Notamacropus eugenii: one gene and its partner. Each later gene encodes a partner of the first gene's protein in a complex. Links are inferred from orthologs where the notes say so. Each region holds a gene or a part of one and is shown in the gene's direction. Other genes may lie near its edges.

Region 1 (6,975 bases):
ATTACCTATCAGACTTACAGAAGAATTTGTGAGTAAACAAGAGATAGGGAGCATTGTAGATATAAAATGAATAATTCTGATTACATTTAATTTAAAAAAGATTGGTATGAACAAAACCAATGCAGCCAAGATTAGAAAGAAAACAGAAAACTGTGGGAAAGTTTTTTATAGACAGTTTCTTGGATAAAGGTCTCATATGTCAAATATATAGAGAACTCTGTCAAATTTATAAGAATATGAGTCATTCCCCAACTGACAAAGGATATGAACAGGAAATTTTTATATGAAGAAATCAAAGCTAATATAGTCATATGAAAAACAGCTCTAAATCATTATTGATTAGAGAAATGCAAATGAAAATAACTTTAAGATATCTCATATCTATCAGATTGGCTAAAATGATAGAAGGGAAAATGACAAATGTTGGAGGGAATATGAAAAAATTGGGACACCAATACAATGTTGGTGGTACTGTAAACTAACCTGGAGAGCAATCTGTATTTATGCCCAGAGTTGTAAAATTTTGTATACTCCTTGATCCAGCAATACCACCTATTAGTTCTGTTTTAAGATGATCAGGGAAAAAGGAAAAGAATCTATATGTTCTAAAATATAGCAGCTCTCTTTGTGGTGGCAAAGAATTTGAAACTGCAGGAATGCCTGTCAATTGCGGAATGACTGAACAAGTTGTGGTATATGATGGAATACTACCGTGCTATAAGAAATAATGAGCTGGATGGTCTTAGAAAAACATGGATAGATGTATAAAATAATGAGGAATGAAATGAGCAAAACCAAGAGAACAACATATACAGTAACTGCAATATTGTTTTAAGAACAACTTGGAGCAAATAAGTCATTTTGACTTTTATAAATACCCAAATTAACTACAAAGGACATATGATAAAAGATGCTGCCTGCATCCAGAGGAAAAAATGACAAATAGAAGTATATGTAGAATGATTTTACGTGTATATACGTATCCATCTCATATCGCTCTTCTCAACTTTTCCTTTAGTCTTCCTTAAAAATGAATAAGAACTTATAAAAGAAGAGGTTATCCACTCTCAGAGAAACAGTGGACAAATAAGTCTAGTACAGTCTTACATAGATGCATATGAATGTATATGTCTATATATTAATATGATTATAGATATCTAAGTATATGTAAGTATAAGCAAGTGTATGCATGTAAGGGTATATGTATGTATGCATGTATGTATTTTATATGTATACTTATGCATATATATCTGAACTTAATTGTAGCCTTCTGGGATAGAGAAGGAAGCAGGGGGGTGGGGCAGGGGAAAGAACAAGTAAAGAGAGCACAGCAGAGAACAAAAGAAAACTTAAAGGACACAAAGATGGACAGCTCAGAACACAATGTGTAGTATTTATTATATAGACTGTCTTGAAACGGAAATTTATTGCTGTGTATTGCAAATCCTTTCATGTTCTGCTGTGCCCATGACAATTCATCTTTTCTTTTCTTATATTGTATTGTTTTGATATTTAAGTTTATAATATGTTTCTTTTTCTTATTGTGTATTTAAGTTTTAGTATTTAAGTTAAAAATACATTTTAAAAAAGAAAAAAACAGAAACAAAAAAATAAAAATAAATGAGAAAGACAAAGGAATAAAAAAATTCTTATGTGGAGATTGTTTACTGATATTTGACTCAATAACCTAAATCCTTGGTCCTAAATTTTTTTTTGGTATTATGTATCTGTATATAGCAACAACCTGTAGTACCTGTCTTTAATAAGTATCACTTTAATGTAGACATTAAGGTCATTAACACAGAATGTAGCACCCAGAGGATGTAGGACTATTTTTTGCCTTTCATTTTATCCCTATTGCTTAGCAAAGTGAATGGTACATATTCAGTACTTTAAAAAAAATACTTGTTGCCTGACTCTGGTAGAAAGATTGCTGAATTTGGAGTCAGAGCAGGTCGGCTCTACTACCAGTGCCACTGTGGGTGAATCATGTCCCGGCTCTGACCCTTTTTCTCATCTGTAAAATGTGGGTTTGTACTAAATGACCTGTATGGTCCTTCCCAGTTCCATATCTATGATGCTATGATGAAAGCGAACCTAGCAATCTGAGGAAAAATGGAAAAGGTTTAAAATAGTGGTGTGGGAGGGAATTTGATCGTTCAAATGGAATCAAATAGAAAAAAAGTACATGGCATTCAGCAAGGCCCACCTAATGTGACAATAATGTCAATTTATGCAGGAGTCAGTGGTTCTGGATTTGTGATTTCATCCAGGAATAATATAATATTATAAATCTGGAGTTGCAAGGGACCTCAAAGGCTAACTAGTCCAAAATTCTCATTTCACCAATAAGAGAAGTGAAGTCCAAGATGGCTAAGGGACTGATCCAAGTTTACACAATAGAAAGCATCTGTGCAGAACCAATAACAGAGAAAGTGTATAGTATAGTATCATTTTACCCAGAATTGGTAAGGTAGCATTGCAACTGCTGACCATGGGGTCCCAGACACAAATGAAGTCAGAAAGGAAATGAAGGAATGAAGGACTGGAAGAAAAGAAAAGGGTAGAGGGCCTGAAAATCATCAGTCAATTCAATTCAATTCAGCAAGGATTTCTTAAGTGCAATGTGTGATTTAGTGGAAAGAAAATTGGTTTTGACATCTGAGCGCCTGGGTTCAAATCCAGCCTCTCGTGCTTACCACCTGTATGGCTTTAGGCAAGTGACTTAATCTTCCAGGGTTTCATTTTCCTGAAATGTAAAATAAGGGGGCTTGCTGGAATGGCTTCTGAGGACCCTTCTAGTCTCCTCTCCTGGATCATATGTGTCATTTATTGTGCTAAGCATAGGAAATAAAAAAAGGAAACAGTCTCTGTTTTCAAAGCCTTATTTATATTCTACCGCAGGAGACAATATGTACATAGATATGTAAATACAAGCTATATACAAAGTATTTGAGGGTGTGAGATAAAAACATAGGGAACCACGACAAGTGGGGAGTAGGAGAAGTACAAACCCAGGAAAGTCTGCAAAGCTTATCAAAAGAATAATTCCCTCTGCTCTGAATACATGTAGCATACACGTGCTGCGTGTATCATCTGGCCCATTTCATCAAGCCTTACTTAGTAATATTTCACATTCTAGCATGCTTATTTTCCATTATCCACCCTGTCTACTGAGAGGCCCTCCAGATCCATGGGCCTTGCCATCTGCCCTGATGCATAATGAGCCCTCCCCGACTTAGCTGGAACCATAACTGGATCAATTGTCACTGGAAAGGTAGTGTCAATCAATCAGTCAACATTTATCAAGTGCCACATGCCATCAACATTTTTGCCAATCATTCACAATCCCAGTGACTTCCCAAATCAAAGCACCCTTTACAGTAACTTCCTTCTACTAGAATAAGTACTTGGGGGCAGGAACCATCTCCTTCCTGTTTTGGTATCCCCCTGGACTTAGCACGGTACTGGGCACACCATAAGCGCTTAATAAATGCATTTTCTTTTATGCCTGTCCAGGCACTCATTCATAGCAGTGACTAGAAGAGGGAGTTTCACTGCACTGCTTCTCGGAGATGGAGCAGTTCTGAGTGATAACAGATGTTTATCACTATGGAGAGGAGGGTCACGGAATAGAGAAATCTGGGGAGAGGGTGTGGGGAAGGTCAGCACCCTGGAGAGCTCGGAGCCATGGGAAGACTTTTGGTAAGGAATGCAAAAAATGTTGTGCATGACCTTGGCGAAGTCACCTGAGCTCTCCTCTGGGAGCTGACGAACGTTCTCCCCAGGCTCTTCCCCAGCTGCCGGTCCATCTACAGCTCGTCCATCACACCTTAGCAAGTCTTTATTCTGTAATCCTTCTGGGGAGCCCGGCCCTACTAAGCAACAGCGTAGAGATCTACAACTGCGCCTCTTCTCGGAACAGCCCGGTAGGAGCCGGCATCCCCGCTCCCCGCTCCTGTCCAAATACTTCACAAGCCACGCCCACTTCCCTGAGCGGAACGAAGGATGTATGTCCTCCACGAGGCACCGTAGGGTTCGGACGTAGTGCGCAGGCGCGGCTTCCCCGGTCTCCGGAGCGGCGTGCTCCCCTCCCCCAAACTAGCCGCTTCCCGGCTTTGGAGCGACGCCGGTGGCCCCAGACCTCCTGACTTCCTTCCTCGGACCCGCGCCCCCTTCTCCTCCACCGGCGGCGGCGGCGTCGGCGCAGAGTCATGGCCGAGCGCGGGGAGCTCGACTTGACCGGCGCCAAACAAAACACTGGAGTGTGGCTGGTGAAGGTAAAGGCCGACTGAGCCCAGCCCCCCAGGACGCCCCCTCCCCCACCGGGGGTCCCGCCTTTCTCCCCCAAGCTCCAGGGGGTAGTCCCAGCGTGGATTGCGGGACAGTTACTGTCACAGTGTTTCACTCCACTCAGCACTTGGGGTAGGGGGTGAGGTTGGGAACGCAAAGACTGGGAGGCTGGACTTGGGGGAAACATAACATGCACCCAGAAAAGTAAGAGCAGAACGTGAGGTTATCCGTGTAGAGCTGGAAGTCCCGCTCCTTCATTTAACAGAGGAGGAAACTGAGGCACCGAGCGGCCAAGTGACCCGGCGTGGCGGGGAGTCCGGGGAGGGCGCGGGTGTCAAACAGCCTGCAAGTGTCCGAGTCTGCTTTGGAGCCCAGGCTTAGCGTGATGGTTAGATCCACCGGTCCAACCGGCGCGTCCCATGCGGTCGTGTGGGAGGGGCCGCAGTCTGGGGCCCCGGGGGCGACCCCCTGGTGAGCGCGGGGGGGGGCGGGGTGTGCAGGGCAGAGGGGATGAGGCTTGTGCCCTCCTGGTACACGGACACGATCCGCAGGTTGTAGTAAGTGTGGGTCTAGGACGGCAAGGAAGAGGGTGACTGAAGTTCAGGGAGAAGCGCGCCGTAGAGAGCAGGACGGAGGAGGAAGATAGCGGAGCGTCTGGACGGAGGAGACTGCGCTCGGAGAAGTCCAGCCGGCCATGTGGTCACTTCTCTGCCGGCCACCGAGGACGGATAGAGCGCTGGGCCCGAGTTCGGATGCTGCCTTCGCCCTGTGGGCCTCAGGGGCCTCCTCTGTAAAGTGAGCTGGAGCACACCCCAATGGAGTCACAGAGTTGGACTTGACAAGTGATTGAACAGGAAAAGAGGAGAAGTTGTTTAAGGGTAGAAGGGAGGAAGGTAATGAAGCTTCCTGGAGAGGTTAGCTAATCACATGGTGCAGAGGCAGAACAGAATAGTGGTTAGAGTTGGAGAGGAAGAAGGTGAGCATGGATCAGGGTACATTTCGTGGAAGAGGTGATGTTGGAGTTGAGCTTTAGAGGGGGAGGGACGGCACTTCAGGCTTAGGCACAGTGGTGGGAGATCATTACTTGGATGGGTAAGCAGGTTGTGATAGATGTGATAGTGGGAGGGTAGCCCCTCTCCGCTGATTTTCCCCACCAGACTTCATAGGAGCCTAATCCATAAAGTGTGTACCTGAGGCACGCTTTGAACCCTCTTAAGTGCCAAGCCACTGGCTTCTAGGCCTCTTTCATCACAGTGTCATTCTTATTGTCACATTTCAAATGGACCCTGTGAGTGGCCAAAGGAGGAGATATGTATTTATTAATTTGTTCATATTGTATTACACCTGCAGTAACTATTTTTCTGTGAATTGATCAGATTCTCAATCCTGGCATGTTTTCAAAATGTGCTCTAATTCTTCTTACCAGTTCTAGTCATGTTTAAAGACAATTTCATAAAGCTGTTGAATCAATCCAGAAATAATTATTGAATACCTGCTAGGGTAGGCATTGTGATCGATATAAAGAATCTGTGTTCCCTGTCTATAAGAAGTTTGTGGTGTAGTTGGAGACGCACGTCAGCACATGAAAAAGTGAATAAAATTAAATAGCAATAAAGACAATAATATAAGAACTCGCTTGCCGGGTAAAGATAATAATTTACGTGGTGTTTTAAAGTTTAGAAAGTCCTTTTCTGACTACAACCTGTTCAGGGAGATAGTGGAAGTCTCATCATTACGTTTTCGTAGATGAGGATACTAAGGCCCAGAGAATTTAAGTAATTTGCTCAAGGTTATCCAAGTGGTCTGTGTAAGAGCACAGACATGAACCCAGGGCTCCTAAATCCCAAGTCACTTCATTATGAGTCACTCAGCCAGCAAACATTAAGCTCCTACTATGTGTCAGGCCTACTACTTGCTAGGCACTGGGCCTGGTCTTCAAGGAGCCAACATCCTATTGAAGGAGACAACGTGCACATATGTACAAAATACATAAGAGTTCAGGGCTTTCTTTTGCTTTGGTTTTGGTGGTGCTTGAGATGAACTTCTGAGGAAGCTAATAGGGATTCTCAAAGGTGGGAGAGAGAAGAGAGCAGCTTGTGCAGAGGCAGGGAGATGGAGTGCCCTGTGTGAGGGACAGCCAGAGACCAAAGAGTTCACAAAGGGGAGGGATGTTGTAAACTTGGATAGACAAGCTGGATCCTGGTGATGAAGTGCCTTTGATGCCAAATAAACTATGCATTTGTGCTTGATCCCAAGGGACTGTGTGGTATAGTAAAAGGAGCATTGAATTTGGAAGGGCCTGGATTTGTGCGCAGATCAGTAACTTAAGACCAGTGTGATCTTGGCCAAGAATTTTAACTTTTCTGACTCTCAGTTCCTCATCTGTAAAATTACATTGGAGTACATGGCTTCTTCCTTTTTTTTTCTGCCATAAAGATCAAATTGTCTTATTTTTCTAATTTAATGATTTTATTATGAACTTGTATAGCCATCAACAAATATAATTTCTATAGACAAAAAAACAGAAAAAGAGAATTGTATATGAAATTGAAACTTAGGTATAACTTTGTTTTTTTCTTAAGCATACAGTACATTGTACCCTTCTGTTTGTGTCTCTGAATCTTCCTTTGCTTTCTTGATATTTTATGTCTCGTTAATGCTGTTTTTCTTGAACAATGCTAT
Region 2 (6,014 bases), on another chromosome or scaffold:
TGGTGCAGAGGCCCCTCTGCCTGCCCTCCTCATACTGGGGACACACAGACGGCTGACAACTCCCAAATGGCCCACATGCAGTGCAGGCTCCCCGGGAGGCCTCGCCAGGTATCCAGGCTGGCCTCCAACCCCTCCCAGGGGGCCTTCAGGCCCTCTGGAGACCCTCCTAGCTGGCACAGAATCACAGAGCAAGAACCTCATGAGGCTAGCTGGTTAGCTTGAATAGACCCGAGGATAGGAAGTTCACCCCTTCGGCTATTGAAAGCCCATGGCAAAGTACTGGGGAAACTTAGAAACATTCACAAAATGCCAGCTGAGGGCACGAGGTCTTCCTTCTAAGGATCTAGAGGGCTCCTGGGACCATTGCCCCACCTCGGGGCTCTCCTGCATCCCCACTCCCTCTTTTCCTGCCTGCCAGAGGCCATGTCCAGGCCAGACCATCCAAGGACAGGTTCCTGGAGGCCAGAGGCCTGGCCTTCACCTTGCTCCAATCAGGCCCAGGCCGCACATGCACACACATGCACATGTGCAGCTGCACACACATGAGCACACACACTCATGCATACATCCACACACATACACATGTGCACACTCACATACTTACACACACTCACACATGCACATATATACACATGCCTGTGTGCAAGGGACCATGTGAAGGGGAAAGGAAGGAGCATTTATTTACCCTGCTCTGTGGCAGGCAGTGTGCCAAGATGCGCTGTAGAACACAATTTCCTAAGAAATGCCATATCCTGCAAAGCCCAGAGAAGGCTCAGAGACACAGGAGCCTGCCAGCCCCACCTTCCCATTCCATGGCTGGGAAAATTGAGGCTCCAAGAGGCGGTATGGGGATGTGGATGGGCAGGGAAGAGGAAAGAGGATCCATCGAGCGGGGATCGGTGCGGGGGGAGGGATGGGGGTCCTTAAAACAGGATGCACACCCGGGGAGGGGTAGACTGGGGTCTTCCAGGAAGGAAGCTGGGGGTTGTAGCTGCAGATCCTCCCCCACTCCATCCCTGGGAGTGCACAGTGACTGGAACCAGCCTCTGCATGTCCTCACGGGGAGCCACCTGGCCTCTAGCTCCCTCAGTAAGGGCTTAGCCCACACCCAAACATGGGAGGCATTCCGTGGATGCTCCATGGACTTACAACCCCCAAAAGCTGCCCACCCCCACAGTCCTAGGAGGGTCGGGGTTGGGAACATTCTCCCAGGCTTTCTCGCCTGCTGTCAGGGCCTGACCTGGGTGTGTACTGCTGTGCATCTGGGGGACCAGGGTTGGGCTACACCCATCAGGGCAGGCCAATGAAGCAGCTAGAAAGCAGGATGGTAAACAGGAATGCTTTGGGCTCCACTTGGTCCAAGGTTCTACAGCAGAGGAATGGCTGCTTCCCCAGACCCAGGAGCCTGGCAAAGTACTGGAGGATGGAGGGAGGGTGGGTGAGAACTCCCTGCCTGCTGCAGTCTGAAGACAGCCCCCAAGGGCATTTGGGGGGGGCCAGCATGGGAGGAGGACCCCAGAGGAGTCTTGTCTAGAGATGACCTCAGGGGCAGCCCTGCCCCCAAACCCACCAGACAGCATGGGGCAGGGCAAGCTCAGGGTCAGGCCCTGCACTCCCCTCTCTCTGGCCCTTCATCTGCTCCCTTGGGCTCCTGAGCTCCAAGCCTCCCTCACCAAGGTGGCCAGTAGGCATTTCCAGGCAGATGCAGATGGAGTTTATGATACCCCCCACGGCACTCTCCCCCTTCCCACAGCTCCCAGAATCCATACTTGGTGCTGCTCTGAACTCTTCCTCTTACACCCTCCCCCCAAAAAATGGAATCAGACGACAGATCATGCTTAGTCTGTCTCTAGCTGCATCCTGGTGTCTAGGATGAAGCAAGCGATTAGTAGGTGCTTCCTGCTGCCCCTGTGACCCTCTACCAGTGCACAGGACCTCCCTGACTTCCCCCCTCCCCATACTTCAGCAGTGGTCTCTCCCTGCCTCCAGCACCCTCTCTGATCCTCTCCAATCCGCTTTCCACATATCTGACCCCAGAGGGTAAGTCTGACCAGTCACTCCCCACCAGTTAGGGGCTGAAATACTTAAAAAGTGTGTCCCAGCAGCATCAGAGGCAGGGCAAGGCCCTCCCTCCCTGCTTTGTAACAGGCTCCAGTAACTCCACAGGAAAACTGGCACCTCAGGTACACCACATGAGCTCCAACCCCTACCCCTTTGCACTGGCTGGCCCCCAGGCCTGGAAGATTCTCTCTCCTCATTCCCCCCTTGTGGGATGGCCAGCTGCCTGTCAGGCTCCCCTGCCCCTTCCTCTGTATGTGTCTTCCTGTATCTGTTCCCCAGAGCTGGCAGGGAACTAGTCCTTCCTGTTTTGCATGTGGGTGGTCTCTCCTAGACAGAAGCAGGGACGCTGGATCCCCATCTCTGTGATGTGACTCTTAGCATGTATTTGCTGGCACATAGTAGGTGCTGCGAATGACTGAATGCCTGGGAATCTGGATCTACCCCCCTCCCAGTATGAGCCCCCCAGGGGGTGGAAGGCCTGGGGGAAGAGAAGACAGGGAAAGGGGAAAGGAAAGGGGAGAGGGAGAGAGAGGGAGGGAGAGCATGGCCCTTCATAAAGGCTGACCCTGGTCCAACAGAATGTCCCCTATCTTTTAGATGACCTTAGAGAAGTCCCTTCACCCTGTCTGGCCTCCCATACAAGGAGGGGCTTGAGCAAATAAAGTGAGATCCTTTCTAGCCCTCAAATCTCAAGTCCAGTCCTGCCCCCACCTCCACCCTCTAAGGGACCCATAATGCCCCTTTGAGGGAGGAAAGCCATGCCCCCAGTTGCAAGCCCCCCCATGACTAAGCAGGCCAAGGGCCCCCTAACCCTGCATCTTCTCCATCCTGTGATGCCTTTGCCTGAGGATCTCCACAGATCAGAAACCAGCAGCCAGCTAAGCATCCCACTGAGGAGAGGGAGGTCGGCAGCCCCAGCCCTCCCTGTGGGCCCCCCCCCACTGTGGGTTAGCATTTTCCAGGCCCCGAAATCCTGGAGCCTGGTTCAGTCATTAAAAAGCAGATGGCAAGGCTAAGCCCAGCCCTCAGAGACCCCCTCCCTCCTGGCCTGTCCCGGGGCTTCTTCCAGCCCTGCTCTGGCACAAGGCAGCCAGGGCCCCCCAACCCCCACCCACCCCCAATAGCCAGCCTTATGGGGCATCCCTGCCCCTCCTCTGGCGCCAGGATCCCCGAGGCTTAGAACAGATGTCGGCCCTCCCCACCTCCCAGGGGTTCCCCAGTTGTGGCCTGGGATTAGGTCCCCGAGAGCGGAACTAGAAGCGGGGGCAGATACTCCCATCGAGGAGGCCTGGGCTGGGCCGGAACAGGGAAGCAAGCAACCTCCCGAAAACCAAGTGCCGGGTTCTGCGCTACCCTCGGCTCAGAACCGGGCTGTGATCTCCCCGCTTTTCGGGACTAGGGTCTCTACCCTGCCCCCTCAGGCCCAGGAAACCACCTTTAACCCCGCTTTATCCCGGGGTGCCGTCAGGGTCCCCCTCCACATCTATGTGCAGACCCAAGGGCGGACCCTCCTGGCTGGCTGGGGGAGAGCGCCTGGGGATGCCCGGAGGGAAGGGGGCAGAAGAGATGGGGAGAGGGGAGAGGAGGGAGGGGGAGGGGGCAGAGGGGCATCGGCTCCTCCTCCCTGAGCTGCCCGGGGGGGGATCTGAAGCCACTTACCTGAGCCCAGGAGCTCAGGTGCCCCTCGGGCCAAGCAGGCTCCCGCGGGTCTGGGAGCGGCAGGCTGGGATCCCGCCAGGATCGTACGGGACGAGGGGGCAGGACGCACTGGGCTGGACTGGACCGGACTGGACCTGACGGGACAGGGAGGGATAGATGCTAGCCTGCAAAGCAGGGCAGAGTCCGGCATCAGCGCCGCCGCCCGCTCCAGCTCCCCAAAGAGGACGGGGCACCTCGTGGGACTGGCCTGGAGGCCCCCCCACCTCGTGCATCTGAAGTCAATCAGCCAGCGGGGACCCGCGGGAGGTGGGGGGCGGCTCCGGGGGTCGGGCCAGGCTGGTACGCGAGTTGGGGGAGGGGACGAGGAGGAGCAACGGAGCCTCCCCCGGCCATGGGGGGACGTTCCTGAACCCGAGATGCAGGCCACAATAATGACCCCGGGGGGCAGGGGCCGGAGCAGGGAGAACTCGGGATCCTCCCGTCAACCCAGTCCTGGAGAAGGTGGAGGGAGGTCCCCGAGGTCAGCACGTCCATTCCCCAGACTCCGAGCCTCACAGAAAATACGAAGGGCTGTCGGCACCAGAGGCGGCCAGCCGCCTTCCTCCCCCTCATCCCCCGTAGCCCCGAGCCCCAGCCAGCCAAGACGGAAAGTTTCCCCTAAGTCCCGGGGCCAAAACCTGGCCCGTGGCCCCGTTGGCGCTCCGCAAGCAACAGGTTCCAGCCACCGCGCGCGCTCCAGGCGGCGGCGCCTCCACCAGTTGCACCGTCTAGGGCCGGGGTGGTCGGCCAGGCTCTGGAAGCTCCCGGAGCCCACCTTGAGAGAGAATGAGCGAGCTACGTACGCGCGGGCGGAGGCGGCCACGACGGCGGCGGCTTAGGCTCGGCCTCGCCTTGGGACTCTTAAGTGCAGACGCCGCCGCCGCCGCCGCCGCCGCCGCCCAGCTGTCACTCAAACCCAGCGCGAGAAACGCGCCCGGGCTCCCGCCAGGCTCTTTTGGCCTGCGCGGGCCGCCGTAGCTTCGGGCGAGACCATCGGCGTTCCAGAGGGGAGATCCTGAGCGGAACCCACCCTCGTGCCGCCGCCGCGGCTTCTAGAAACCACGCGACTCGGGACCCCGGACGCAGAGGGCTAGAGGTGCGGGCCCGCGTAGAAAGCCCGGAGCCGGGCCGAGCCGCTTCCTGAGCCTACCCCCCCATTCGAGGCAATGGGAGCGGCCGGGGGGGCGGGGCTTCGGCGCCGGAAGCGGAAGCGGGGCGGAGAGAGGGAGGGCCAGAAGAGAAGGGACGTCTCGTCGCCGGTGCTGCCGTCTCCTCGCCCTCGCCATGATCATCCCGGTTCGCTGCTTCACGTGCGGCAAGATCGTGGGCAACAAGTGGGAGGCCTACCTGGGGCTGCTGCAGGCGGAGTACACCGAAGGGTAGGCGCCCCCGAGGGACTGCGAGGGTCCTAGTGGACCCCTGCAGCCAAGGCAGCGGGGGGGGCACGGACCGGGAGAGGCCAGCCCCCGACCTCACCGTCCTTTGCAGGGACGCCCTGGACGCGCTGGGCCTGAAGCGCTACTGCTGCCGGAGGATGCTGCTGGCCCACGTGGACCTGATCGAGAAGCTTCTCAACTACGCGCCCCTGGAGAAGTGAGCGGCCCGGGCCCCGGGCCCGAGCTTGGGCGAGCTGGGCCCGAGGCGGCCGGGATGCCGCGGGAGACCCCGGCCCTCCGGGGCCCAGCCTCAGCGCGTCTCCCTGGGAGCGAAATACACCCGTTCTTTAAGTGACTCCGTGCGTGGCCCCTTCAATCCAGAACACCAAACCAACGGGCGGGGAAGACCCTCAGGGGTCCTGGGCGAAGCGCCGAGGGCCCCTCCCTCCAGGAGCTGCGCGGAGCCCGGACGCTCCTTCTCACCCCGTCTCGCCCCCTTGGGACCGGGCCGGAGGCCCTGGGAGGGAGGGGCGGTTACAGATGCGGCGGCAGGCGGGTGGCCGGAGTCAGGATCCGGATCTCGGTCTTGTTACCCCCTGGCACCAATCCGCAGCCCCTCACAGGCACCGTCCTGCCCGCTACATGCTGCTGGGCATCCCAAGCCCACTGGGACCCAGCCTCCGGCCTGGCCTCCCACCCCTGCCCCAGGCCTCTTGGGGGTTAGGAACATGTGTTCCTCCAGGACATCGGATGTGTGGGCAGTTAGTAATGCATGTGGGCATTGGTACTGTCACCACACTCTGCTTCTTGCTCTGTCCTGGACATGGCCAGTCCAAGTGGCAGGGAGGGCAAAGGGGGCACCCTCCCCCCATCCCAGCC

The links. Proteins that work in one complex are often made in the same cells at the same time.
Region 2: GTF2F2 (region 1) and POLR2L share a complex: the UniProt entries of both Homo sapiens proteins name them as parts of the TBP-based Pol II pre-initiation complex. The link is inferred for Notamacropus eugenii from reciprocal best matches to the Homo sapiens genes GTF2F2 and POLR2L.

Annotation. Positions count from the first base shown.
Region 1 is NC_092877.1:295,657,686-295,664,660, forward strand, and holds the start of GTF2F2 (general transcription factor IIF subunit 2), read left to right. Parts: upstream 1-3,968; 5' UTR 3,969-4,214; coding exon 4,215-4,280; intron 4,281-6,975. UniProt on the Homo sapiens protein: TFIIF is a general transcription initiation factor that binds to RNA polymerase II and helps to recruit it to the initiation complex in collaboration with TFIIB.
Region 2 is NC_092873.1:27,457,224-27,463,237, forward strand, and holds POLR2L (DNA-directed RNA polymerases I, II, and III subunit RPABC5), read left to right. Parts: upstream 1-4,950; 5' UTR 4,951-5,043; coding exon 5,044-5,138; intron 5,139-5,247; coding exon 5,248-5,356; 3' UTR 5,357-5,490; downstream 5,491-6,014. UniProt on the Homo sapiens protein: DNA-dependent RNA polymerase catalyzes the transcription of DNA into RNA using the four ribonucleoside triphosphates as substrates.